5 linked regions of the Macaca mulatta genome follow. The protein of the gene in region 3 interacts with the protein of the main gene of each other region in a pairwise test. Links are inferred from orthologs where the notes say so. Each region holds a gene or a part of one and is shown on either strand. Other genes may lie near its edges.

The links. The genes of interacting proteins can lie anywhere in the genome.
Region 1: the proteins of TOP3B (region 3) and SPRED2 interact in binary tests that used the Homo sapiens proteins (3 or more experiments, as listed by UniProt). The link is inferred for Macaca mulatta from reciprocal best matches to the Homo sapiens genes TOP3B and SPRED2.
Region 2: the proteins of TOP3B (region 3) and uncharacterized protein LOC703872 interact in a two-hybrid assay, tested with the Homo sapiens proteins (2 studies listed by BioGRID and IntAct). The two-hybrid records come from large-scale screens. The link is inferred for Macaca mulatta from reciprocal best matches to the Homo sapiens genes TOP3B and KRTAP4-12.
Region 4: the proteins of TOP3B (region 3) and TRIM41 interact in binary tests that used the Homo sapiens proteins (3 or more experiments, as listed by UniProt). The two-hybrid records come from large-scale screens. The link is inferred for Macaca mulatta from reciprocal best matches to the Homo sapiens genes TOP3B and TRIM41.
Region 5: the proteins of TOP3B (region 3) and MID2 interact in binary tests that used the Homo sapiens proteins (3 or more experiments, as listed by UniProt). The two-hybrid records come from large-scale screens. The link is inferred for Macaca mulatta from reciprocal best matches to the Homo sapiens genes TOP3B and MID2.

What each region holds. Positions count from the first base shown.
Region 1 is NC_133418.1:59,259,618-59,265,747, forward strand, and holds the start of SPRED2 (sprouty-related, EVH1 domain-containing protein 2), read left to right. Parts: upstream 1-2,760; 5' UTR 2,761-3,136; coding exon 3,137-3,162; intron 3,163-6,130. UniProt on the Homo sapiens protein: Negatively regulates Ras signaling pathways and downstream activation of MAP kinases. Recruits and translocates NF1 to the cell membrane, thereby enabling NF1-dependent hydrolysis of active GTP-bound Ras to inactive GDP-bound Ras.
Region 2 is NC_133421.1:65,464,947-65,469,556, reverse strand, and holds uncharacterized protein LOC703872, read right to left. Parts: upstream 2,059-4,610; 5' UTR 1,881-2,058; coding exon 1,143-1,880; 3' UTR 1,071-1,142; downstream 1-1,070. UniProt on the Homo sapiens protein: In the hair cortex, hair keratin intermediate filaments are embedded in an interfilamentous matrix, consisting of hair keratin-associated proteins (KRTAP), which are essential for the formation of a rigid and resistant hair shaft through their extensive disulfide bond cross-linking with abundant cysteine residues of hair keratins.
Region 3 is NC_133415.1:31,020,134-31,025,518, reverse strand, and holds part of TOP3B (DNA topoisomerase 3-beta-1), read right to left. Parts: intron 4,213-5,385; coding exon 4,106-4,212; intron 3,129-4,105; coding exon 3,054-3,128; intron 2,251-3,053; exon of another isoform or gene 2,142-2,250; intron 1,651-2,141; exon of another isoform or gene 1,630-1,650; coding exon 1,433-1,629; intron 8-1,432; coding exon 1-7. UniProt on the Homo sapiens protein: Releases the supercoiling and torsional tension of DNA introduced during the DNA replication and transcription by transiently cleaving and rejoining one strand of the DNA duplex.
Region 4 is NC_133411.1:190,263,705-190,269,687, forward strand, and holds the start of TRIM41 (E3 ubiquitin-protein ligase TRIM41), read left to right. Parts: upstream 1-2,613; 5' UTR 2,614-3,037; coding exon 3,038-4,138; intron 4,139-5,983.
Region 5 is NC_133426.1:114,595,354-114,601,399, forward strand, and holds the start of MID2 (putative E3 ubiquitin-protein ligase MID2), read left to right. Parts: upstream 1-2,676; 5' UTR 2,677-3,307; coding exon 3,308-3,311; intron 3,312-6,046. UniProt on the Homo sapiens protein: E3 ubiquitin ligase that plays a role in microtubule stabilization. Mediates the 'Lys-48'-linked polyubiquitination of LRRK2 to drive its localization to microtubules and its proteasomal degradation in neurons.

The sequences.
Region 1 (6,130 bases), on a different chromosome or scaffold from region 3:
CCCAGCTGGAGTATGGCACCAGGTGATCCCAATGGGGACTTGGGGACTTCTGCACCTCAGAATATTTACCATTGTTCCCCTGGCAACCTGGTCCATAGGCTGGGCCAGTCGTTCACAGATATTAGCTGAGAGCTGGCTGAATGAGTGGTGATGACACCAATTTAACCTGCTCATAGAGCTGGCCTACCTGCAGAAATTAATAATCACCTCGCCTGCCACCTCGCCATTTGTGTACCTTGAAACTGGAGGGTGGAGCCCAAGAGATGCCCATAGGGTGGATAATTTTGACATGGGTAAGTGCTTGTGTTCTGGGAAGTTCAGGAATAACAGGGTGGGATCTCTTTCAGCACTCCCAGGGAGAAAAGCAACCGTGGCTAAAGGTGAGACCTGGGTGAGAGCAACCATGGCCAAAGGTGAGTCCTTAGCCTTCTGGGGATTTAAAGGACAATGAGATCTTGGCTTTGGTTAGTACTTTCTCACCAACTCTCAATGACCTCACAAACTGATAGACAAGCTTGGCCTTGTTATTCCTGTTTTATAAGGAAACTCACTTGGGGTCTCAGGACTGCTAGGAGAAAACCAGAACTAAGCTGTTCCATCCTCTGGTTCATGCCCTCCCCACCATCACACATCACCAGTGTGAACCCCACTCCATGTCCGCAGACATCATGGCTGTGATAAGCACAAAGCCCGGAGTAAACCATCAGTTTCTCCCTGACTCAAGGTGAAACTTTTTGGAGGATTTGTGGCTCCTAGATGCATGTAAATTTTAGGAATACTAAATGTGAGGCATTTATTTATTTGTTTAGAGACAAAGTTTCTTCTTGTTGCCCAGGCTGGAGTGCAATGGTGCAATCTTGGCACACTGCACCCTCTGACTCCTGGGTTCAAACAATTCTCCTGCCTCAGCCTCCGGAGTAGCTGGGATTATGGGCACCCACCACCACACCCAACTAATTTTTGTATTTTTAGTAGAGACAGGTTTTTGCCATGTTGGCCAGGCTGGTCTCAAACGCCTGACCTCAGGTGATCCGCCCACTTCGGCCTCCCAAAGTGCTGGGATTACAGGCATAAACCACTGCGCCCAGCCTGAGGCAAATATTTAATCTCTTAACCTGATGTTCAGTGGTTGCTATTTAGTTAACATCATATCTGGATTGTCCCGTGGACATTCAAGAGGATGGAAAAGTCTACTATGTTTGGAGAGCAGCAAGGGATAGGGACTATGTCCCTTGTTTCTTTTTCTTTCTTTCTTTCTTTCTTTTTTTTTTGAGATGGAGTTTCGCTCTTGTTGCCCAGGCTGGGGTGCAGTGGCGCAATCTTGGCTCACCGCAACCTTCACCTCCCGGGTTCAAGCGATTCTCCTGCCTCAGCCTCCCGGGTACCTAGGATTACAGGCACTCGCCACCACGCCCAGCTAATTTTGTATTTTTAGTAGAGACGATGTTTCACCATGTTGGTCAGGCTGGTCTCGAACTCCCAACCTCAGGTGATCTGCCCGCCTCGGCCTCCCAAAGTGCTGAGATTACAGGCGTCAGCCACTGCGCCCGGCCGGGGCTGCCTCTTAACGCGAGAATTTCCATAATTTCTACGGAAATGCAAACGTTTCTGGGCTGTGCTGGGCTTTGCACGAGTAATGATTCTTAAAAACATCCGTTCCTTGGCCGGGCGCGGTGGCCCATGCCTGTAATCCCAGCACTTTGGGAGGCCGAGGCGGGCGAATCACGAGGTCAAGAAATTGAGACCATCCTGGCCAACACGGTGAAACCCCGTCTCTACTAAAACTACAAAAATTAGCTGGGCGTGGTGGCGCGCGCCTGTAGTCGCAGCTACTTGGGAGGCTGAGGCAGGAGAATCACTTGAACCCAGGAGGTGGAGGTTGCAGTGAGCCTAGATCGCGCCACTGCACTCCAGCCTGGGCTGGGGACAGAGCGAGACTCCATCTCAAAACAAAACAAAAATCCGTTCCTCTATTGAGACAAAAAAGGAAAAAAAATCACAAGATTCACGTGAAACGGAAAAGCCTCTGCCTTTCAGAACCTTGGTAAAGTCGAACCCCCTCTCCTTTCTGGTTGGGTTGGGTTAGAGAAGCCAGCCCCTGGCACCTGCGCCGCCCCTACCTTCCCACCCTGCGGTGGGGGTAGTTGTTCCTCTGAGCCTGAGCACCTCTTCAGCTGTTTCACTCCCTCCCCTCCCTTGAGTTTCGCATCTCCGCCCCCGCCCAACCCCCCGATTTTTAATCTTGGGGTTTGGAAGGAGGGAGGGGGCAAAAACGGGAGCCAGATGTGTAAGAGTCCTCCGCTCCCGCCTCCTCTCTCCTCTCGGGCTTCCTAAAACCCGGAGCCCTAATCAAGGAGGATTCGGAGCCAGACGGTCGCGGCGAAAGCAAACAACTCGGCTCCGCGGCTCCCCCGGGAGTGGAAGCCAGGAGGGAGGGGGAGAGGAAGCCGGGCGTGCTCAGTAGGCGGGACAAAGTTTTTTTTTTTTTTTTCTCCCGTTTTTTTCGGTCGCAAGTAGGAAGCTTTTTGCACTCCACCACCTCTGGCCGCTGGGAAGACGTCATCGCTTCCGCCCTACTTCCTCCTCCTGTTGGCGGCGGTGAGAATCCAATATGGAGTAAATCGGTGGAGTCGAGAGATGGGGCTCGGACGGGGCGCCCTGCACTGCCTCCCAGGCGCACCTCCCCCGGCCGCCGACCGCTCCCCGGAACCGTGATTGGCCCGGCCCCCCGGGGGCGACCCCGGACCGAGTCCCCCCACCCGCGGCCGGCGCTCTCCTCCTCCTCGCAGCAGTCCCCGCCGCTCCAAGGCGCGCTTGTTTTTCTCCTGCTCTCCCCCACCGCCGTCCCCTTCCCAAATCTCGCCCCCTTTGCCCGCTCCCGAGCCCCCGGAGCCTCCGCCCGCCTCTCCCCACGGCGCTGCGGCGTTCACTCCCCTTGCAGCCTGCCTTTGCACCCCTTCCCCCAAACCTCACCCCGCTCCCTGCTTCCCCTTCTGCTGCGGCGCCCCCATCTCTAGCCGCCCCCCCTCCCCAAATCAGGCGATCTCCGGAGATGTGAAGAAGGGGGGCGAGCGGACAGGAAGATGAAGGGAGCAAAGCTGCCCGCCGCGGGACAGGCGTCTAGGTGAACAAGAAAATGACCGAAGAAACACACCCGGACGAGTAAGTTTGGTCGCGGGGTGGGACGAGGGTGCCCCGCGGGGGCAGCGTGGGGGCCGGGGCTGAGGATGCGGGCGGGGACGCTTATTGGGTGAACTTGGCGTGGGGTGCAGCGACTCGCTGACCTGTCGGGGTTGGGACGCGAGGCTTCCCTGCTTGTTGAAGTGAGGAGGGGGCAAAAACTGCTGCGGGCTGGCGGGCGCACGCCTAGGGTCGGCGGGCTGGTGGCCGCCCCGGGGGCCAAGGGCGTGCGGGTGACCTCCGGGCGGTCCCCGCTCCCTCTCCGAGGACTCACAGCACCCCCCCGCCCCCGAAATCCTCGGCGGCTGGAGCGGAAGACCTGACACCCCCACTCCGGCTTCCCGGGGCCGGTGGGTTTTTGCACAGTGACTTTGTGACTCCCGCCGCGCCGCGAGCCCCGCAGTCCGCTCCTGAGCCCACTGGGGCCTAGGCTCCGCCATTTCGTTTTCTTGAATCGCTCTCATTTGCATACCACATTTTCATTCATAAAAAACACGGCGGAGCGAGAGGAGGACGGGCGCGGGCTGCGCTGGGGTCTGGTGCGCCAGGGTCCCCGCGCGGGCCGGCGTGCTGGAGCCGCCCGAGGGGCCCCGCGGTGCGTGAGTGCCTGTGCACGCGCTTGTGGTCGGCACACGCGTCCTGCGGGGTCAGGCGCCTCGGGGCGGACCTAGGCGAGTGCGGCGGGGGCGTGCGGGGCAGCGCTCTGGGGGCGAGTGTGTGTGTGTGTCCTCGCGGGTGCGCGTGCACGGGCTTGTGCCCGGCCCGCAGGCCCGAGGGGAACAATGCTTGGGGCGCTCCGCCGGAGGGATCCCGGGCAGCCCCGCGCGGGACCCGTGACTGTCGCCAGCCCGGGGCGGAGGTGCAGCTGCCTCCTGCCTCGCGGTCCAGGGGTCCAGTTTGGCATTTTCTCTTCCTGGTCCGAGGCGTTTTCTGTTTCGGGTGCGACGGGGGCGGGGCCGCGGGGCCCGACACCTCAGGTCTTCTGCCTGGGGTCCGAGCGGTCATCGCGCGGCGGCCGCCGCTGCTGCTCAGTGGCTGTGCCCGCCACCAGCCACTTTTTTTTTTTTTTTTTTTTTTGTGAATAAGACGCTCTCCTTTATTGTCACATGATATCCCTCCCCTCCTCCCCTGCACATTCATAAATCCGGAGTCTGCATCGGTTCCTTTCATTCAGTGCTGCCATTAGCCAAGGTAGTGGCGGCGCGGGCTTGGGCTCAAAGAGCCGGTTGGCAGCCGCGGGGACGCGCCCTGGAGGGAGGCCCCGCGCGCGTCTTAGCAGTGGAGTGCGGGCTGCGGGAGGCGTGCTCCAGAGGCCCCAGGTCTTTTGCCCCCCGCAGGCATTGGGCCTCAAGAGTGCTGGGAGGGGAAGTGACTCAGGGCTGGGCGACAGGGAGGCTTGTCTCTTGCAGCAGGTGACAGTGTTGTGCTCTACTCTAAGAAATCTACTCACTTTATTAAATATACCCCCTTTATCCTTTGGCGTCTGCTGTTGCCAGTCTGGGCGGGAATGGGGCTGCTGTTTGGGGAAAGGAATTTCAATTTCCTTCCTGTGAGTCCCCAGGGAACTTTGACTGCAGTAACCCCTGATCTTCCAGACACCCGTCACAGGAGAGGATCCCTGCTGGTGTGCCTGTCGCAGATGTCCCACCACATCTGCTGGTGTTTCTATTTCAGACGTTTTGCTTTGTCTTCGTATATAGCATCTTAAAATGGTAAAATGAAAAAAAAGTTGCGCTTTTAGCGCTGAAATATAGAGAAGGATTATGCTTCTGGGCCTTGCTGCCTTGTGAACGTGGCCAATAAATCAGTATTTTTATGGGCCCTCGATTGTACCTGCACACAGAGTAGCAGCAGTGGCAGTGAGGTTGGTTGCTGTGCTCTGGCCTTGCAGATTCTTGGAGAGGTTTGACCGCTCTACCTTGGCTCCACTCCTTGGGAATACAGGCCTGACCTGGCCCTTTTTGTGGCAGCTTGTCAGCCTTGCATCTTTCTCCATCTGCTATCCAAAGCAGAAGGATTTCGAGTGGGATCACCAGCGAGGAAAGAATAGTTCCATTTTAGGCTCTCAGAGCAAGTTCAGCATGAAGCTGCAGCCTCCACTGCTGTCACAAGTCCAGTTGAGAGGATAGATATTTGAGGAGTTGTAGTTTCACTTAGAGGCTGAGAAAGCCTTGGCATCTTAGCCACTGAAGAAATGGGCTATAGGGGTTATTTTTAATGTGATGACCTTGGCACGAGACTTTACATGCCTGAGAAGAAAGCGACTTCGTGGGCTGTAAACTGCCATGGTAGCTACCGTCTATTATTATGTTCAACGTACCTGTGTAATGACGCATCTGAAAAATTCCTTTTAAGTGTTAGTGACAGTAAGGTTTCTCTCTCTGAATTACAGAGCTTGCTGTGATTGCTTTTTTGTTGTTCAGGTGTTGTTTGCTGCCACTGTCTTTAAGTCCAGAGCTAAAATTATTGTTTGATTAAGGTAGCCATATTTGCTTAGGTTCTTGCTAGATTCCTACTCTGGGTGAATTTTGTTCTATTTTTTTCTTGTAATGATTTTATGTTTGAGGTCTCTCAGATACCTTTTGGAACCAGGCAGGGGTTGTTACTTAAGAGAACTGTGGCATCAAACTGGAGACCTAGGGAAGATGTATTTGTACTTTTGGTAAAATAGACTTGATAGTCTACATATAGTAAAGCTTTTGTGGAATGGTCCAGATAATATGTTTCATTTAGCATCAGAATGCAGTAAATCAGAATCTTGCAAATGGTAAAACTGTGCTTAATTTAAAAACAGTTTTGTTTTCTAATGTTGTTTTCCATGTCAATTTAAAGTTCTTCTAATATATGGTAATTCAGGAAACTCTCTTTGCTCTTGTTGACGATGGTCCCAAAAGATACCTTGCATATAGAAAATACATTGACCATTCTTTCGTTCTCCCCCCCCCACAAA
Region 2 (4,610 bases), on a different chromosome or scaffold from region 3:
CTCAAAGCTATGAACTAATTCCAATAAAATGATTCTTAAAAACAAAAGTGAGTCTTGAAATTTTCAGCCTTGCTGGGTTTATATATGTTAAAATGTTAAGTGTGGAGATGTTTAAATTATAACATAAACCTGTAGAGACCACAGTCAGAATAGATATCGTTTCATGCTATCCAGATGAAATACAGCTCAATATGCTTTTTTTTCTCAGCAGAACTCACTGGGAAATAAAGTCCACTTTTTAATAATAAATTCCAAAATGTTGTTTATTGAGTGAAATGAATTGAGTACATTAAATTCTTTATAGAAGATTTCCCTTCTTTCATTGGTGTCTACTTTTCAGAAATTTGGTTTTATCTTTTTTTGTCAAAATAGGGACAATAGTATGACAATTAGATATAACGTGTTAAAGATAAAATGTGTTTCAAGAGCTAAGGCATGAATTAAATCTGTCTTAATTTAGGATATTAAAACACCTGTGCACACCCACAAACACACACATACACATATACACACAGCACTTTTATTCCAATACCTTAAATTATGTATATTTTATATAGCATGTATCTTCAAAGTGATTTCAACATGGGTTGCTCTTCCTGTATCTTTGTGTAAAATATAATTGCTAGGGAATCAGTAAAATAATTATGAAAGCAATAGAGAATGATACCAATGAATTCTTACGTGCAGAAAAGTTTATTAGAAAGCAGAGATGCTACAAAGCATAAGAAATTCACACTAGGAGAAACACAGAATATAACTGGGCCCCTGGGTCTGAGGGTGCAACATCAGTGACAAAACTGAGCCTGCAGATAACGTCTACCTCACTGAGAAGGAGAATCTCTACCTCAAAGTGATAAAGAAAATAAGGAAATTAGAGGATTGGAATAATTTCTTAGTTAGTGGATTACAAATTAATTTCTATTTGGTGCTACCACTGGAAGAAAAAGAAAGCAAGGGAGGGAGCTTAAAATGAACCAGAATATTCTCAGAGTCAGTGAAATGGTGATGGGCTCATTGGAAACATGAGGTCCATCCTATTGAATGACATCAACCCCACTCCATGTGTCCTAATAGCCAGCATAGTAGAAGGGTCTGCATCTGTGGGCCAGCAGTGAAGGGGGAGGTGAAGCAGGGCAGGGGGCTCAGCAGCAAGAGGAGGCGCAGCACAAGGGGCGGGGGCAGGTGGAGATGACACAGGTTGGGCGATAGCAAGTGGTGTGGCAGGAGACTCGGCCACAGACTGGACGCAGGCAGCAGCAGGGGCGGCAGCAGCTGGATTCACAGCAAGAGGGGCGGCAGCAGCTGGAGATGCAGCAGCTGGGGCGGCAGCAGGTGGGCTGGCAGCACACAGACTGGCAGCACTGGGGCCTGCAGCAGCTGGACACACAGCAGCTGGGGCGGCAGCAGGTGGTCCTGCAGCAGGTGGTCTGACAGCAGCTGGGGCGGCAGCAGGTGGGCTGACAGCACACAGACTGGCAGCACTGGGGCCTGCAGCAGCTGGACACACAGCAGCTGGGGCGGCAGCAGGTGGTCCTGCAGCAGGTGGTCTGACAGCAGCTGGGGTGGCAGCAGCTGGGCTGACAGCACACAGACTGGCAGCACTGGGGCCTGCAGCAGCTGGACACACAGCAGCTGGGGCGGCAGCAGGTGGTCCTGCAGCAGGTGGTCTGACAGCAGCTGGGGCGGCAGCAGCTGGGCTGACAGCACACAGACTGGCAGCACTGGGGCCTGCAGCAGCTGGACACACAGCAGCTGGGGCGACAGCACGTGGTCCTGCAGCAGGTGGTCTGACAGCAGTTTGGGCTGCAGCAGGTCTCCTGGCAGAGGTCTTGGCAGCAGCCCTGGTCAGAGCACACGGAGCCACAACAGGAGTTGACCATGGTGTCAGAACGGGGAGGATCTGGGTGGGTTTCCAAGAGATTGAAGTTCTTGTGTTTGGAAGTCTTCTGGGTCCATAGCCTCCTTTATACCCTGCTGAAGGCCCATTGCCACCACGTCATTATTTCCTTGTTATTATTTACCTCGTGGAAAACTTAATCATGTAATTACATCATTGTGTGTTTCTAGTTAAATACTCCAAAACTAACCCATTTAAATATTCAAAAAATAACCCATTTCCTTTTCCTGCTGTGCTCCTGTGTTTCTATTGGAAACACTTGTCATATTTCTTCCCTAGTGGGGGTCACCTTTGTCCCTGGTCTATGCAGTGTCTTTTACAAACCGCTGGACACATGACTCTGACACTTTATTTCTAAATGTGATTCTCCCTCCTACCTGTAGATAGCTCTCTACAAATCATGGGGGACACTTTTTATAATGTGAATGTATCTTTTGTTGTCAAAGAATGTCCTGGTCAGATGAGATGTCGGAAAGGAGTTAGAAGGAAGGACTCATTCGGGAGAAGGATGTCCCACCTGTAATGAAGATGACTCTGATTCCGTGTATGCTTCTTGAACGGTTGAGGAGATGGTCAGATCCCAAGGAAGTTATAAACTCTGTGTCAGATCTTATTCCACCACTTCAAGTGAAAGTACTTAGCCATGACTCATTGCCTTTAAGGAGTAAAAACACATTTTTGTATATGTCTTACAGTATAGGCATTAGGAGTAGGAAGTTTTATCTTTGATCATCAAAATTGCATGATGAATTTCTATTTGACAAAAGCATTTGTTATATGTAGACAATGTTTATAATTATTAAGCCTTCAATAATGTGCATCCAAGACATTCTGTTGGGTACTCTGGGTATAGAACGGATAAACCCTCATCTTTTTCCTGCAGGTACTTGTATAAGACACATGTATAAGAAACAGAATTTGGCAAAAATGAAAGGAATCACAATTATGTTCATTAAACAACTACAATAAAAATGTATAGTATGTGGATAAGTTCCATACACCCTCAAGGTATGTATATTACTTGTGAAGTTTTGACTACGTACCAGACATTGTGCTAAACATCTTATATTTATTTCATTTTCACTCTTTAATACAACCTTATAAAGTAGTGTACATTCTTATTACTCTTTTAGCAGAGTACGCAAAAGAAGCATTAAAAAGCTAAAACAAACAAACAAACAAACAAAAAACGTGTCGAAGATTAAAGAGAAAGTAAGCCTAATATGTCTTAGGGTAGCCAAGAAAGAGGTAAAGAATAAAATTTGCCAAACTTGCTGAAACTGTTTCATCTTCTTGGAATGTTTCATTTTTTTTTGTTCATTCTGCAAACTCCTACTCATGTGTCAAAACCAGTTAAAATATTTCCTCCTCAATAATTTTTTCCTGATAAGCTACACCATACATTTATCATTATTTCCTCCCTTGTGCTCATAATTTGATACATTCTACTGTATCATAGTCATTTACTTCTGTCATTCCCCATATGCAATGCAAATACCCTGAAGGCATGGCCTATGACATTTCTTTTTGTTACCATGATACTCAGCACAGAGAACACTGGTGGTAAATGTTTATTGAGTGAATGAAGGCTTTTTGATGTCATAGAGGCATGTAAGGTCCTTTAGAAATGGATATATCTTTTGACTTCTGGATAAAAGAGAGGAAAACATTCCAAACAAGGAGATCAGAGTTTAATTTTAGGAAAACTAATTTCTATGGTAAGTAACATGTCCCCTGATAAACAGTATATGCGGAAAGTTGTGGAAGTTGGGATTCCATTCATAGAATAAGACTTAGTTATAGATAACCAGGAATACTGTGTCATCACATTGTGGAAGGGAAAAGAGAGGGTGAGACAGAGAAAGAGGGAGTCAAAATCATCCTTTTATAAGGAACCCACTCTTGTGATAACAACATGAATCCACTCATGAGGGTGGTGTCACCATGACCCAAACATCTGTTGGGCGCCGCCTCCCAGCACCGCCGCATTGAGGATCAAGTGTCCAACACGTGAACTTTGAGGGACACATTCAAACCACTGCATTCCACCCTTGGCCCCCAAATCCATGTCCTTCTCATACACAGAATGTGTTCATTTTATTCCAATAGTTCCAAAGTCTTAACTTGTTCCAGAACCAACTTAAAAGTCAAAATGTAAATCTAAGAGTGTCATCTAAATCTGATATGAGTGAGACCCAACACAGGACTTATCCTGAGGCAAATTCTCCTCCACATGTGAACCTATTAAAGAAGTTATCTAGTTCCAAAATCCAATACTGGGAGAGGCATAGTATAGACAGGCCCATTCCAAAAGGGAGCAACAGGAAAGAAAAAAGGGTAACTGGCCCCAAGCGAGTCCAACAGGGAAGACAGCATTAAATCTTAAAACTGGAGAATAACCTTTGACTCCATGTGCTGCCTCCTGGACATGCCTACCATGGGGCTGGGCTGCCTGGGGGCCTTGGTGTTAGGCCCCAAAGCCCCTCAGATAGCTCTGCCCCGTGGCTTTGCTGGGCTCAGCCCATGCAGCAGCAATCTGATTGGAGTCTCTGCCTGCAGGCTCTCTCAGGCTGATAGTTCTGCAGTTCTAGGGTCTCAGTGGCTGCTCTGACCCCCCGTTTTCCTGAGCATGGCCCTAGGAGGACCTCTCTGCTGTGGCTACACCCCTGTGGCAGGCTGTCGGAAACATCCTTTCAAACCTAGGTGGACCGCC
Region 3 (5,385 bases):
CTGAAACCTGGAGGGAGTGGAGAGAAAGGTATTTTGGTCACTGATTCACTCAAGACACTATTATGGCCACCCATGTGAGTCCAGCCCAAGGCCAGGGGTGGTGCGTGAGGGAGGTGGCACCAGGTGGTGTCCCCGCTTAGAAGTCAGTGGGAGCAGAGTGGGCATAGCCTTAGGGAGGATTCATATGTGTACATGGGTGACAGAGCCAGTGAGAGAGTAGACAGAGGTTTCTACTGTCTTGGGCCAGGGAGCCTTCTATTCTATTCTATCTACCGCACACTCTCCTCAGGACCCCCAAAGCACAGACAAACACACTTTATCGAGCAGGGCATAGGTGATCTCTGTCAGCTAAATAAACAGTTTTCTTTAGGTCTTTTTGGTTTTTGTAGAGACAGGGTCTTGCTGTGTTACCCAGCAGGAATGCATTAATGGGGATTCACAGATCATTGCAGCCTTGAACTCCTGGGCTCAAGTGATCCTCCCACGTCAGCCTCCCAAGTAACTGGGACTACAGGCTCACGCCACCACACCCAGCTAATTAAAACAAAATGCTTGGACAGGCACAGTGGCTCATACCTGTAATCCCAGCACTTTGGGAGGCTGAGGCAGGCGGATCACCTGAGGTCAGGAGTTTGAGACCAGCCTGGCCAACATGGTGAAACCCCATCTCTACTGAAAGTATAAAAATTAGCCAGGAGTGGTGGCGCATGCCTGTAATCCCAGCTAGTCGGGAGGCTGAGGCATCAGAATCACCTGAATGCAGGAGGCAGAGGTCGCAGTGAGCCGAGATTGTGCCACTGCACTCCAGCCTGGGTGACAGAGTGAGACTCTGTCTCAAAAAACAAACAAACAAAAAAATAAATTTTTGTTTAGCCTGGGCGCAGTGGCTCCCATCTGTAATTCCAGCACTTTGGGAGGCCAAGGTGGGCGGATTGCTAGAGCTCAGGAGTTTGAGACCAGCCTGGGCAATACAGTGAAACCCTGTCTCTACAAAATACACAAAAATTAGCCAGGCATAGTGGTGCATACCTGTAGCACCTGTAGTGGAAGGCTCAGGTAGGAGGATCTCTTGAGCCTGGGAGGCAGAGGTTGCAGTGAGCTGAGATTGTGCCACTGCATTCCAGCCTAGGCAACAGAGCAAGACTCTGTCTCAAAAAAATAATTTTTTTTTTTGTAGAGATGGGGTCTTGTTATGCTGCCCAGGCTGGTCTCAAACTGCCAACTTCAAGCAATCCTCCCATCCTGGCCTCTCAAAGTGCAGGGATTACAGGTGTGAGCCACTGTGCCCGGCCTTCTTCAGGGTTGGTGAAATCCCCTGTTGCTCATCCTGGCTCTGGGAGGCCTAGGGGCTCCTGAGGGGGACCAGTAGAGGCAGGTCTCTGGCTGAGGGAGAGTGAGGGTGTGCCCAGGACTCCGCGGGTGTGGCCAGCACCTGGTGAATGCACAGCCGATTCGCAGGTCCAGTTCCTGGCGAGCATCCACTGAGAGCGCCTCGTTGTGGTCAGGCTCGCCCAGGCAGGCCATGGCATTACAGATGTCTGTGTCTGTGATGGAGCTAAACCTGGCCCGGAACACGGTCTTCTCACCACCATAGGCCTTGTTCATGACGGGCAGAACAGCATCAAGAACCTGGGGGTGGGGAGTGGCCAGCTGTGACCCACCTCCCAGATCCCTGCCACAGCTCCCCACCCCACTGTGAAGCCTGGCTCCTTCCAGCAAAGAACACGTGTGCTCAGCCCCCTCTCCTGCCCGTCAGACCCTCCTCTATCCCCCTGGCTTTCCAGAAGCCCTGAGCACTCCATACCACCCCACCACATGGCTTCCTTTCCTCCCATCTAGAACATATTCGAACACTCCCTTCTTACTCCCGCACTCTCTCTTCTAATCCTCTGCTTTCATCCCCACCAAATCAGGAAATGCTACTGCCAAGTACATGAGGGACCTCTTAGTCCCCAGACCCATCCCACATGACCCGATTCCCTGCCTTCTAGGAGGGAGGGCTTGGAGGGGTGGGTGGAAATTTTAAGAGGCTGAAGAAAAGACAGGGAAGGAGAAAAGAATGAAGGGGAAAGGAAATGGGCAAGAGCAGGAAGGCCACGGGTGGTCCCAGCTTGTGGTGGGGGCAGCTCGGGCTAAAGCACAGCAGGGGTCCTGGAGCCGAGACTCACTAGGAAGGCCGTGCAGTGGGACTAGGGTCGCCGCCGGAGCCTGGCCACGCAGCTTCCTTACTGGGAATAAGTGGCTTCATTTCTGAAGGGAGAAAGCCCCATGAGCTGCCCCCATTCTCCACTCCCAGATGCAAAGGCCCCCAGGGAGGAGCCGCCCTGCAGGGGAGGAGGGAATCTGGGAAGAGACAGAGTGTGATCGCATTTGCTGACGGTGCTGTACTGCAACGCCAGGTGCCTCAGCTCTGTCTCACTGACCACCTCTTGAGCCACAGGCGAGAGCTGGGGGTACAGGAGCACAGGGGCGACCCATAGGGAACAACAGCCTGAAGGGCACCAAGTGAGACCAGCAGGCATGGCCACTGTGAGGGCACCATGGCCAGGGCAAGCATGGGGCATGGGGTGTGCACAGGGAGCTGCCACCTGCTTCTCTGCAGGGCTCCCGGGGTTGGCTGGAGGCGGGAGGCATCCTGGGTGGGGCAGGAGATGAGCAGAGCGAGGCCTGCAAAAGGAGCTCAGTGCTGAGGTCGGGAATCAGCCAGCATCAACCCAAGGTCCCTGAGAAGTCAAGCTGGGCACAGGATGCTGAACACCAAGCTGCCCCATGACAGTCCCATTCTGAAACCTGCATCCACCCAATTTCGCCCCTCCTATGTTCACTCATACTGTGTGGCCCCAGCAAGCAGAGGCACAACTGACCACCTTTAATACAGCCGATGCAGTTAAAAATATCTATGGAATTTCAAAATAAAGGGAGGGGAGAGGTGTTTTTAAACCAGTACAGTTTACTCCCTCCTTTGGCCCCAGGAATGGTGTGACTGCTGGTGTCAGTCTGGGGCTGGCGTCAGAAAGGCCAAAAGTGAGGACCAAACTGAGCCTCATACTCACCTCAAAGCAGATGTTCTCCCCCTCCTTGTCGCAGTCCAGCCACAGCACGATGTAGTCGCAGCCTCTGCCCTCCACCTGCCACACAGCACACGTTCACATGCACCTGCTGCAGACCCAGCCCATGCCACCTGCCCCGTGCTCCCATCCAGGACAGGGCTTGGTCCCAGGCCCTGAACCTCAGCTAGGACGACTGGTACCTGGGCTCAGGTAGGAGGACTGGTAGCTGGCTGTGGTGAGGCTGGCTCAGCCAACAGCAAACAATTGAGTTTATAATTGATGTTTTTTGGACCAAAAAAAAAAAAAAAGTGTAAGTGCAACATGATCTTAAACCCCAAAACTGCCCAGAAAAAGGGTTCCAATGAAATAACCCTAAATGATAACAGCAGTTGTCTTGGCTAATATGATTATGAATAATTTTTTTGTCTTTATACTTATCTGCACTTTCTAATTTTCCATAATCTGTATGCATTTGTTTTAAAATTAAGGGGAAAAAACCCCCAGCCAAACAAGCTTTTTTTTTTTTTTTTTTGAGACGGAGTCTCGCTCTGTCGCTCAGGCTGGAGCACAGTGGCGCGATCTCGGTTCACTGCAAGCTCCGCCTCCCTGGGTCATGCCATTCTCCTGCCTCAGCCTCACCAGTAGCTGGGACTACAGGCGCCCGCCACCACACCTGGCTAATTTTTTGTATTTTTAGTGGAGATGGGGTTTCACCGTGTAAGCCAGGCTGGTCTTGAACTCCTGACCTCAGGTGATCTGCCCACCTCGGCCTCCCAAAGTGCTGGGATTACAGGCGTGAGCCACTGCGCCCGGCCCAAACAAGCTATTTTAAAAGCAGAAGGCCTGCTCTCCAGGACTGAGGGTTGGCACTGGCAACTGCCTTGTGTGTTGGGGGTGCCTGCAGGTGCCTCATGGGCCAGCAGGGGGCACTCACAGAAAGAGCTAGCAAAGGCCCCCCTGTCCAAGGGGGATTAGGACTCACGCAAGGGTGGGCAAGGACAGCTGTGGAGGGTGGGGAGCCCGGGTGTGCTCATGCCCAGGCCAGCCCCACGCACCTGCAGGAACTTCACCATGTTCAGCTTGGGGTTAGCTTCCTTCTTCTCCGTGGGAGCTTGGCTGAACAGTTCTGCGGGGTCCACTTTGTCCCATTTGTTGTATTTTCCTACAAACCAGTCACAGTGACATTGAGTCACACCTCACAGTTCACAGGGGCTCAACCTCCGAGACCATCATAACCCCAGGATGATGTTGGTTTCATCCCACAAATGAGGAGGGGAAAGCTTGGAGAACAATTTGCCCAGGGTCATCATGATGATCAGAGGCAGAGCCAGGATGTGGGTTCAGGCCTTTGGTAACCCCCTTCCCTCCAGCCTCCTTTCTGCTCGGCTGCTGAGCTGACACCACACTCCGGCCAACCACAGGAGCCAAGCAAGCTCTCCGGGGGCTGCCACTCTGGCCTCACTTCCGGGACTTTCCCTGTGGCTGGGAGCATCATTCCTGGGCTGGCTTTCTTTGCCTGAGCACTGGACCCCACCACTGGTGTCTTCATTGACACTTCCAACCTGAGTTTCTGGAACTCCATCCTTCCACCCAGCACTCTGTGGGGGCACACATGTGCGCAGTCATTCCTGTTAAAGGACCCATCTTTTTGAGCCTCATGCCCAGCACATTCACCTACTCATCTACAGAGGCCCAGTTCTTGCATGCTCAGCTGTCTGGCTTTCTTTTTTTTTTCTTTTTTTTTTTTTTTTTGAGACGGAGTCTCGCTCTGCCGCCCAGGCTGGAGTGCAGTGGCCGGATCTCAGCTCACTGCAAGCTCCGCCTCCCGGGTTCACGCCATTCTCCTGCCTCAGCCTCCCGAGTAGTTGGGACTACAGGCGCCCGCCACTGCGCCCGGCTAGTTTTTTGTATTTTTTAGTAGAGACGGGGTTTCACCGTGTTAGCCAGGATGGTCTCGATCTCCTGACCTCGTGATCCGCCCATCTCGGCCTCCCAAAGTGCTGGGATTACAGGCTTGAGCCACCGCGCCCGGCCTGTCTGGCTTTCTTTTAGGCCCATTTCTTTTTTTTTCTGAGACAGGGGTCTCGCTCTGTCATCCAGGATGAAGTACAGTGATACGATCATGGCTAACTGCAGTCTCGACCTCCCAGCCTCAATCCATCTTCCCACTTCAGCCTCCCAAGACTACAGGTGCGCACCACCATGTCGGCTGATTTAAAAAGATTTTTTTTTTTTTGTAGAGACAGGGGTCTCACTATGTTGTCCAGACTGGTCTTGAACTCCTGGGCTCAGGCGATCCTCCTAGGCCCCATTTCTTGCATCCTGGGAGAATGGG
Region 4 (5,983 bases), on a different chromosome or scaffold from region 3:
ACCAGCTTCTGCCCAGACCGCCCTCACAGACTACATAGCCCTGCTAAGTCTCCACTTTGATACACGTCTGAGACAGAAGAGGATGCTATCTTTGCTCAGTGAGTTTAAACCAGCTTTCTATGATCAACAGACTTCTCTTGGGGTGTGGTGTGTATGCGGAGGAGACTTCGACAGCTTAAAAATACAAAACGGGGCCGGGCGCGGCGGCTCACGCCTGTGATCCCAGCACTTTGGGAGGCTGAGGCAGGAGGATCACGAGGTCAGGAGATCGAGATCGTCCTGGCCAACATGGTGAAACCCCGTTTCTACTAAAATAGAAAAAATTAGCCAGGCGTGGTGGCGGGCGCCTGTAGTCCCAGCTATTCAGGAGGAATCGCTTGAACCCGGGAGGCGGAGATTGTAGTGAGCCGAGGTGGTGCCACTGCACTTCAGCCTGGCGACATAGCAAGACTCCATCTAAAAGAAAAAAAAAAAAAGAAAAAAGAAAAAAAAAAAGAAAGAAAGAAAAAAGAAAAAAGGGCTATATTTGCAGGACTAATTTCGAGGCCATTCTGAGCTCAGGCGATCCTCCCGCCTTGACTTACCCAAAGTATTGGGATTGCAGGCATGAGCCACTGCGGCGCATGGCCCGTTTTTATCTTTATTTATGTATGGGGGAAACATGGAGGCTGGTATGTGTGGGGCAACATCTCACAAATACAGACTCTTAAAATCAAGAGCATGAAAAAGAATATACGGAAGACAAGTGTCTCAGATTACACAAAGCATCTTTCTTGACAGGGAGTCGAAAGCAGGTCGCAGCGAGGCAAACGCGGAATCCTAACCCCTAAATATCCCAGCAACGTGGGAGTGAATCAATTAGGTTTTGACGCTCACAAACGCCTGGGGTCATCCTGCGGCCTCACCCCGGTTTCGGCAAACCATGTTGTTCCCTCCAGCACAGCAAGTTTCCGACACGGGGGCAGGCCGTCTGGTAAACAGAAAGTGCCTAATATGTGCTGCCCGTGGGCGTGTGGGTTACAGCAAAGGATCATGCATGCAGAACCCGCGCTGCTGGCCTGAAGGAACTGGTCCGCAGGGACCTGCTTCTCATTCTTGCTCGGAGAGTTAGCGAGGGTTGTGAGAACTCTGCTCCGGGGCTTCCACACAACGATCAAAGACCACCCAGTTAAGCCCAAGCTCTAGCCCACCCTTAACTAATCCGCTACCCACTAGATCTTGGTCCAGAAGATACCGTTCGTGCACTTAACTAACACGGCTTGCCTTACCCTTTCCAAAAGGAACTCCGCCCAACGTGGGGCTCGAACCCACGACCCTGAGATTAAGAGTCTCATGCTCTACCGACTGAGCTAGCCGGGCAGCTTGGCCAACGTTATAACTTTGTCTCTGAAGACGGAGGTTGCCCGCAGAGGTGTAGGCACGTTTCCACTGTACAAGTACTAAGAAGCGCCTGCGCCTGGCTCTGTTCTAGGTACTAGGGCCGAGGATCTGAAATCTACGGATTCCTTTGCATGTGATGGCTGCATAGGCTTCAGAAGGGAAGAGCAAGAGATTAGGTGAGGTGTAAAACCTGAATTTACACTGCGAGAATTTATTAAGGACGTGGTATGAGTTCGTGTTCCTCCGAAGCGCAGGCCACACATGTCCTTCCAACCGGGTGACCTGGCCTCGGGAGAGAAATTCTCCTGAACAGGCCCAAAAAAAACGTGTTTCCGCCCGGTTTCGAACCGGGGACCTTTCGCGTGTGAGGCGAACGTGATAACCACTACACTACGGAAACTGCCTGAGCTAACGTTCCTCCAGCATCGTCCTGAAGATACACGTGGCTGCGAAGGCCAGGAAGGCGCTAGGCCCTCGCCCTCGTGGGACAGACCCAGGGACCCCTGCCGCGGCCGGCTAAGTGGTGTCCAGGTTCTGGAGCCAGACTTGTCTACCGCAGCCGGGTCCGCAGCTCCTGTAATGGCCGAGCATAGTTCACCCACGAGTGTTCGTGGTTTTTGGCGCGTTTGATCTGACATCCTCAGAGGCCTGACCAGGCCCCTCTAGGAAGCACGACGTCCCCCTGGAGTTTTCCCGCGAGCCGCCTCTCCGAGAGCAGGGTAAGTAGGTCCTGCAGGCCCAGCCCTGGCGTCACGCCGTGTCTGGCACTCACTGGAGATTCTGTACATAAATCATTGCCTCGTCATTTTCCTCGCATCAAACAACATTTATTTGTTTTTTATTATGTATCGACATCAAATCTCTATAAAAATAAATTTTAAAGAGCTATTTAAGCACCAAGTATTATTTCTACTGCACAAAGCATCTATTTTTGCGGAGATGCTGTGCGAATGTAGATGTAATGATTCGTCACCACTTCTTTACTTCTGGGCAGTTAGGGAAGTTCATCTAAACCATGAGACTGTGTCCGGTTGGCAGTTTCCACCTTGGATGCGGAACGCCGACTACAGTTGGGGAAGGGTTGGGCGTCTGCGGCCCGATCGGCCAAGCGCTTTCTCAGGCCCCGCCCGGGGTCCGAGCCGTACGACCCTCTGAGTCCTCCACAACAAAGTCTTCTGCCTAGAAGGGCCGGAAGTACTTCAGGGCGCTCCGCGGACCCACCCCCTCGCTTCCGGCATTGGCGGTGCGGCGTACCGGCTGCAGTCGGCTGTGTCGGGAGGGTAGGATGGCGCCTGGCCGATGCGGTCATAGCACCGAAAGCAGACGGCCACCAAGCGCTCCCCCCACCCCCCGAAGTTTCTCCCCAGCGGCGGGGGATGGGGGTAGGCGGTTCCTCTGTTCTTTCTGCGTTCGCCGCGGTCCCGCACCACAGAGACGTGGGCCTCCACCGTCCTAGCCCTACCGCCCTGTTCTGTAGTGCGGGCTAGAGCGTCTCCTTGCCATTTCCTGTCGCCCTGGGGCCCCGCGGGGGAAAAAGGGGGAGTAGCACGACAGCGGAGGGAAGTCGAGAGCTTAGGTGGTGTGTAGACGCCGGAAGTATTGGGAAGGAGGCCGGAAGCTAGGGGCGGGGCCAGGAAGTGAGGAGGGGCGGGGGTTTATGAGGAGTCCAAGGAGCATAGGGGCAGATTTGCACTCAGAGCCACCTGAGGGACTTGGCGGTGGTGCCCAGCACTGTCCCCTCCCCTCGCAGAGACGCGGTTGTCGTTTGGGAGTAGGGAACACTGTGTGGCGGGGTGGGTTGGCGGGAGGACATCTCTCTGGCTGCCCTTGGGGCGAGGTGTGGAGGGGCAGGGCTGGGGGTGGAGCCGGGTCGCCAGGGCGTCGGTGGGGAAGACCCCCGCCCCTCGCCCCCCCACCGCACCTCTACACTGGCTGGCTGGACACTAAGATGGCTGCCGTTGCCATGACACCCAACCCTGTGCAGACCCTTCAGGAGGAGGCGGTGTGCGCCATCTGCCTCGATTACTTCACGGACCCCGTGTCCATCGGCTGCGGGCACAACTTCTGCCGAGTTTGTGTAACCCAGTTGTGGGGTGGGGAGGATGAGGAGGACAGAGATGAGTTAGATCGGGAGGAGGAGGAGGAGGACGGAGAGGAGGAGGAAGTGGAGGCTGTGGGGGCTGGCGCGGGGTGGGACACCCCCATGCGGGATGAAGACTACGAGGGTGACATGGAGGAGGAGGTCGAGGAGGAAGAAGAGGGTGTGTTCTGGACCAGTGGCATGAGCAGGTCCAGCTGGGACAACATGGACTATGTGTGGGAGGAGGAGGACGAAGAAGAAGACCTGGACTACTACCTGGGGGACATGGAGGAGGACCTGAGGGGGGAGGATGAGGAGGACGAGGAGGAAGTGCTGGAGGAGGATGAGGAAGAGGATCTAGACCCCGTCACCCCACTGCCCCCGCCTCCAGCCCCTCGGAGGTGCTTCACATGCCCCCAGTGCCGAAAGAGCTTTCCTCGGCGGAGCTTCCGCCCCAACCTGCAGCTGGCCAATATGGTCCAGGTGATTCGGCAGATGCACCCAACCCCTGGTCGAGGGAGCCGTGTGAGTGATCAGGGCATCTGTCCCAAACACCAAGAAGCCCTGAAGCTCTTCTGCGAGGTAGACGAAGAGGCCATCTGTGTGGTGTGCCGAGAATCCAGGAGCCACAAACAGCACAGCGTGGTGCCATTGGAGGAGGTGGTGCAGGAGTACAAGGTGAGAGAAGTACCGAGAGAAGATGGGAGTTTAGTCGGGGGCGGAGAGGAAGTAAGGGGAGCTGAGGAAAGGAAACATCTCTTCGCCCATCAAAGAACCTCATGGTATTGATGAGCTGAGTTTGCTTGTCTAAGCACTTACTGCCAGCAAGGTGGGTTAGAATGAGAAGGATTCTGTACGCAGAGCAGATGCAGTGAAGACGACCAGTCTTCATTTGCTTTGATGGCTTCCTCAAAGCCAATAGAGCAAAGCCGGTGATGCCAGATCAGGTCTCTAGAACTTTACCAGCAGTCTGGCTTGCTTTCTGGTGAGTCTTAAGTCTGTCCTTGACGGAGACACCTAGAGATGGAAAGAACTGGGGGCTTCAAAGGACAAGGAAAGGCTCGGAAGCAGGAACAGAGAGATAACCGCTAGTGTCAGTGTCAGACCCAAATGCCCTGCCCTTGCCTCCCAGTGGGTTCCCCACCCACCACGATGTGGTTTGGTTCTGCCTTCAAGGACTTTTGTTGGCTCTGTGTCACTCTTCTGTACTGACTAGAAAAGAGCTTTTCAGTCAGAAGACCTGGCTCTGCAAGTCGCACTGTCAAATCTTGTTTGTCTCTGTGTGTCTTTGAACTTTAATTTATCCAGGATTGATAGTTAATATTCTCTGGACATTTGTATGTATACCAGGCACTGTACTAGGCAATTTTCATGGACCGTCTCTTTAAAACCCAAACAACACTGTGAGTTTGATATGTTTTCCATTCCCATTTTATAGATTGGGAAAGAGAGTCAGAGGCTTTAAGTACCATACAGAGGACCACAGAGCTTCAGTAATAATTGACTTAGTTATTTGCTGACCCTTCCCCTGGTGTATACTAACAACGCCACCACCATTTGGATGTCTGTTGTTTGACTTTTCTGATGTGACTTTCTTGGAGTCTGATTCTAGTTTGACAAATATCTTGCCCCTACTTCTCATTTTGACTTTCCTTTGGACATAGGTAAAGGAGATTTGTCTGCAAGGCAGCCAGCACAAATAGCACTACTTAGTGAAGGCCTGGATGGGTTTGGAGCAGTGGGACCAGGAGGAGGAGAGGGTAGCCTCTGTGTGGTCTGCTCAGAGCTTGTTTGTTTTATGACTCATGTTTTCACACCTGATTTCCTGCCATAACTTCATTTAGGTACTGTTTTTGTTACCCCAATTTTAGAGTAATGTGTGTAGGACTTCTCAGCCCTGAGTGGTACAGCTAGACAAACCTACATTACTTCGTCACAAGTAACTATTGCTTCTACGGAGTGATTTTTTTTTTTTTTTTAATTTTTTGAGACAGAGTCTCACTGTGTTGCCCAGGGTGAAGTGCAGTAGCATGATCTCGGCTCACTGCAACCTTCACCTCCCGGGTTCAAGTAATTCTCCTGCTTCAACCTCCTGAGTATCTGGGATTACAGGTGCCACCATACCCGACTGATTTTTGTATTTTTAGTAGAGATTGGGTTTCGCCATGTTGGCCAGGCTGGTCTGAATTTCCTGACTGCAGGTGATCCACCCGCCTTGGCCTCCCAAAGTGCTGGGATTACAGACATGAGCCACCATGCCTGGCTACACGATGATTGTTTCACCTGCCTGATTGTTGGAATACTAGGAAAGGTTTTGAAAAATACAGTGGGTCCTTCCACTAGAGTTTGTGAATCAGTGAGTAGGAGAAAATCTTTAAAAAGCCCAGTCTAGCATGGGGACCACTGCGTTGGTAACGTTGCCTAGCTATTCGGCCCTACATTTTTAGCAGAGATTGTGAGCTCCTGTTGTCCTTTCTTTTTATCTTCTCAGTTCCTAATTAACCATAGTCATCATATCATGTG
Region 5 (6,046 bases), on a different chromosome or scaffold from region 3:
GTTATTTATCCCCTCTTCTATTAGGCTGGGTTCAGCAGACTTCTGACTCATTAACTTTTAAAAAAATAATTTTTGTGCCAAAAACCACATAACATAAACTTCATCCTTCCAACAATTTTCAAGTGTACAGTACAATATTGTCAACCACATGCACATTGTTGTGCAACAGATCCCCAGAACATCCCCCTCATCCTGCATGACTGAAATTCCACACCCACTGAACAACTCTTTCCTTTTCCCTCCTCGCAGTCCCTGACAACCAGCATTCTACTTTCTGTTTCTATGAGTTGACTATTTTAGACAGTCATATAAGTAGAATCATGGAATATTTGACTTTTTGTGACTGGCTTATTTCACTTAGCATAATGTCCTCAAGGTTCATCAACTTTGTAACATGTGACAGTATTTCCTTCTTTTTTTAAAGCTGAATAATATGTCCTTGTGTGTATATACCATATTTTCTTTATCCATTCATCCCTTGATGGACATTAAATTTGCTTCTACCCCTTGAATGATGCTGCTATAAGCATGGGTTTGCCAGTATCTTTTTGAGATCCTGTTTTCTATTTGCTTGGCTATATACCTGGAAGTGAGATTGTTTAATCATATAGTAGTTCTATTTTTAATTTTTTGAGGAACCTCCATCCTATTTTCCATAGCAGCTACACCAGTTTACATTCCCTTGGGTAGTGTCTGTACCATTTTACAATGGTGTTCAAGGGTTCCAATTTCTCCACAACCTTGTTAACACTTATTATTTTCTGTTCTAATTTTATTTTTTGTAGACACGTTCTCTTCATGTTACCCAGGCTGATCTCTAACTCCTGGCCTCAAGTGACTCTCTTGCCTTAGCATCCCCTCCTGAGTAGCTGGAATTACAAGTGTGAACCACACCTTGCTGTATTTTCTTCTGTTTTTTTTTTTTTTAAATTTTTAAATTTTTATTTTTATAGTGACCATCCTAATGGATGTGAAATGATATTTCATTGGGGTTTGACTTGCATTTCCCTGACAATTAGTGATGTTGATCATCTTTGCATATGCCTGTTGGCCACTTGTATATCTTCTTTGGAGAAATGTCTATTCAAGTCTTTTGTCCACTTTTAAGAGGTTTTTTTTTTTTTTTTTTAATTGAGCTATACAAGTTCTTTATACATTCTGGATATTAGCACATTATCCGATATATGGTTTGCAAAAGTTTTCTACCATTTTGTAGGTTGCTTTTTCACTCTGTTGATTGAGTCCTTTCCTGTGCAGATGTTTGAAAGTTTTATGGTCCCATTTACCTATTTTTGCTTTTGTTGCCTGGACTTTAGGTGTTACTCACTACCTTTTACTTCTCTTAGGGGCCAGACTTTTTTTTTTTTTTTTTTTTTTTGAGACGGAGTCTCGCTCTGCCGCCCAGGCTGGAGTGCAGTGGCCGGATCTCAGCTCACTGCAAGCTCCGCCTCCTGGGTTCACGCCATTCTCCTGCCTCAGCCTCCCGAGTAGCTGGGACTACAGGCGCCCGCCACCTCACCTGGCTAGTTTTTTTGTATTTTTTAGTAGAGACGGGGTTTCACCGTGTTAGCCAGGATGGTCTCGATCTCCTGACCTCATGATCCACCCGTCTCGGCCTCCCAAAGTGCTGGGATTACAGGCTTGAGCCACCGCGCCCGGCCGGGGCCAGACTTTCATCAGGGCAGCCTGGTTGTGATTTTTGCCTTGGTTTCCACCTCAGTGATCTCTAGCACATTGTTTCACAGGAGTGTTGACTGATTACTATTGGTTTCCTGAAGGGATATACCAAGAGATACCTCAATTTTTCTGGGCTTGTTCTTATGCACAATGATGGCAGGCGTGTGTGTGTGTGTGTGTGTGTGTGTGTGTGTGTGTGTGCGCGCGCGCGCGCGCGCGCGCTGGGGCAGGTCCTCTCATTTTCTCATTTCTTTCCCCTTGTTCTCTCTTTTTGCCCCAAGTTAGAAACAGAGTCTCTTATGGGGCTTCCTGCTCTTTCCCTCTCCCATCCACCTTTTGAGTGGGGGTCACTCCAGACCAATGGGAGGATGCTGGATTCCAAATGGACCAATTAGCTTATTAGGGACCTGGAATACCTGGATAGCTAGCATCTGCCTCATTGTCCTTGTGGTAACGACCCTCTTGTTTTACTGGTCAACAATTTGAAGGTACAAGAAAAATCCTGCTTTTTTTTTTTCTTTTGATGGCTTTAATCCACCTTCACAACTTCTGCCCGAGGCCAATAAAACACAGCCATTCTCTCTTTGTAAAAAGAAAGAGGGGTTGGGTTTCCTTCAATTGTCTGCCCTTTTCTATCTCCTCCACTATTTTTGTTTTACTCTGTAGTTAACTTTGCATAGAGCAGCTTCATGGAGAGGATCTGTGCGGTGGACCCGGGCACTCTCTTCTTATTACCGGTTGCAAAGGCCTCTTCCTTGTTCTAACCTGGGGTTTGTGGGGCTGGGGGACAGAGGAGTGGGGAGTGGGAGAAGAGTTTAGCCATAGTCTTCCTTCTGCATTTCACACACATTCTGCTCTCTCTGTCGCTCTGTCACTCACACACACACACACACACACACACAACACACACATACACACACACACACCCGCCCAGGTCCCTCTCTCTGTGTCTTCCTTCAAGATGACAGGGCGCTGGAGAAAAGGCTGCTGGAATCAGCTGGTAGGTACAGTAGTAACCCGAGCCCCACCCACCGGCTGCCTTTGCTTGCTCAGGTTTCTCCGGTCACTCCTGCCAGGGGAGAAGACATGTAAACGTGCCTCCAGAGGAAGGGCTGGGGGAGCTGGGAGTGGCGGGGGCGGCGGAAGGTGAGCCTGGGAAGGTGTCCGAGCGCCCCTTCTTCTTTGGCCCTTCCCAGTGCTCCCTTGGGGTGTCAGCCCCAACCCCGTTTGCCCCCACTCCGCCTCCCTTTTGGAAGGGATTGCCTTTTTTTTTCCTCTGCGGCGGCGGAAATGACAGTGTGGTGCTGCCGTGGTGTCATGGTGCTGCCCCTGGACTGAGGGGCGAAAACTCTTAACTTTAGCTCGGGAGACCCAGCCGCGGTAGCATCGCGGCCGCCGTGCTATCCCCTGCGGGGCGCGCGGGCTGGCGGATCCCGGCTGCTGCGCGGCGTCGGCGACGGTAGCGGCAGCTGCAGCGAAGGCGGGCGGCGGCCTAGAGTGGTGGCGGCGGCGGCGGCGGCGACCGGGGCCCTGGAGCTCGCGCCGGAGCCCGAGCTAGCCCGCTGCGGAGGCAGACGAGCGCCCAGCGCCCTCGAGCGAGCAGAGGAGATGGCTGGCACCTGGGAACGCTATGGGTAAAACGCGCCCCCTCGCCGCGGCCCTGGAGGTCGAGCGTCGTCGCCCTCGCAGGGCTCGGCCCTGGCTCCGGCCGCTTTTCAGGTGCCGCCGGGGCCCGGCGTTAGCCGAGGGCTCTCGGGCTCGGCGGGGCAGGGTGATGGGGCCCGCGAGGCTCGAGACGGCGACGGGGGCCCCAGATCAGCTCCGGCTCCCAGTCATGCTGTTGGGGCTCGGGTTCCTGCCACTGCCCTCCTGGGACAGAGTTTGCACTCCGGGGTGCGGGGCGGGGGCGGCCGAGGCCTCTGCGCAGCCGGGCCGGGCCGGGCGCGGGCAGTCGAGCGAATCCTCCGGCGCCTGGGCGCGAGTCTGGGAAAGGGCACGGCCGCCTTCCCACGCTCCCGCAGCCGGCAGCCTCTTCGTCCCCGGCGTCGCCCCTTGGCCGGCCGTCTGCCGGGCGGTGCTGTCGCAGCAGCCGGCGTGGCTGCGGACGCCCTGCCGGCGGGGAGGCCCGGTGAAACTTAATCCCTTTTCTGCCAGGGGAGCGATCCTCGAGTCTCCGTCTGGATGGTTCCTTATTTCTGGCCTAGCTGTGAAACCAGCTCTGTGGGGGAGAGGGAAAACTTACATATGTCCACAGGACAGACTGCGACGCAACCAGGGAGAGTGGGGATTTTCCATTCCTGCCTTGTAAGAATTAAGTAAATAACAGCAGAGTAGATTTACAGGAATATTACTGGTGATGATAAGGTTTAGGTTACTTAGCACTTCGTGTGTTGCACATTATTTTTCAGAAGTGTTGCTTCTTAGAGCAGGAAATTGAAATCCTGGAGTCGTTTTACTCTTTACTTTCTCTGTCTCTTCCACTGTCCCCTACCGTTTTCATGATCACTCACCTTCCTATGTCACAACACTTACATGACTATGGAAATCCCCCACTAGAGCGCCTTGGACCCCAGGCTTTCCCCATCAACCTGTGCCCTCCCAGCCTCCCAGCCATGCTGCATCTTACTTCTTCAACCACTTTGCCTTTTGAGGATTTCTGAGTGTGGGGCGGATAGATGGTGATGGTTGTGTGTCTCTGAGGATGAGCCCTTATAAAGGAATATATTGGAAACTAAATAGAGAAGTACCGTGTGTGGGTTGATCCCTCTGATTCTCAACTTGGGCCAGAAGGGCTGCCTTTAACCCCATTCTGCTCCGTCCCAGTACTCTAATCAGTTCTCTGGCAATATTCCAATAGAAGGGAGTTGCTGAATAGGGAGTTCTCCTCCCCTACTTTTCTTCTGTTTGGGGAGTGGTTTCATTCTACCCCAGATGGTTAGCTTCCCCCTCCCCACCCCCCCGACACTCACATCCCCCTGTCTGTCTCCTCTCATGACTGTACTGAGGGAGAAACTGTCTTTGCTATTTTTATATATTCCTGCCCAATCAATGAACTTAACATGGGTATATAATGTGAATTAGATTTCTCCTGATTGCTCCTCACAACTTGATTCATGTGTTTGATAAAGTTTGGATATTTATCCCTGCCCAAATCTTATGTACAAATGTAATCCCCAGTGTTGAGGTGGGGCCTGATGGGAGGTGACTGGATCATGAGGGCAGATTTCTCATGAATGGTTTAGCACCACCACCTTGGTTGACTGTGAGTCCTTGTGATAGTGAGTAATCTCTCCTGAGATCTGGTTGTTTAAAAGCGTGCGGCACTTCCCCCCAGCTCTCTTTCTCCCTTGCTTCTGCTCACACCATGTGAGAATCTCCTGCTCCCCATTTGCCTCCCTCCATGATTGTAAGCTTCCTGAGTCCTCCTCAGAAGCAGATGCTGGCATCACACTTCCTGTACAGCCTGCAGAACTGTGACCCAATTAAACCTCTTTTCTTTTTTTTCTTTTCTTTTCTGTTTTTTTTTTTTTTTTTGAGAAAGGGTCTTGCCTCGGGCTTAAGCAATCCTTCTATCTCAGCATCTTGAGTAGTTGGGACCACAGGTGCATGCCACCACACCCAGCTAATTTTTGTATTTTTTGTAGAGATGGGGTTTTGACATATTGCTCAGGCTGGTCTCGAACTCCTGAGGTCAAGCGATCTGAGGGCCTCACCAAGTGCTGGGATTATAGGCAAGAGCCACAATGCCCAGCCTACCTCTTTTATTTATAAACTACCCAGTTTCAGGTATTTCTTTAAGGCAATGCAAGAATAGCTAATGCAGTGGTTAAAACACAGGTCCAGGAGTCAAGAAGATCAGAGTTCATCCCAAATCTGATGTTACATTGGCTTATGGCTTTAGGACATTCCTATGACTTTTCTTTCTTAGTTGGTGCACTTGTGTAAAAGCTATAATATTGTGTACTGGGTATTGTTAGTCTTGACTTGGTCCTTTGAAGATGAAAGGGTTCTGTAAACCCTCAGCATTATAATTTTTTTTCCCCTTTGAGATGAAGTCTCGCTGTGTCACCCAGGCTGGAGTGCAGTGGCGTGATCATGGCTTGCTGCAGTCTTGACTTCTCTGGCTCAAGCAATCCTCCTATCTCAGCTTCCCTAGTAGCTGGGACTATAGGCACACACCATCACACCTAGCTAATTTTTGAATTTTTTGTAGAGACAGGATTCACCATGTTTCCCAGTCTGGTCTCAAACTCCTGAGCTTAAGGGATCCACCTGCCAAAGCCAAGTGTTGGGATTACAGGTGCGAACCACCACAGCCGGCCAACATTATACTTTTCAAAGAAAGCACTTCCTTTACCTTTTACTGAGT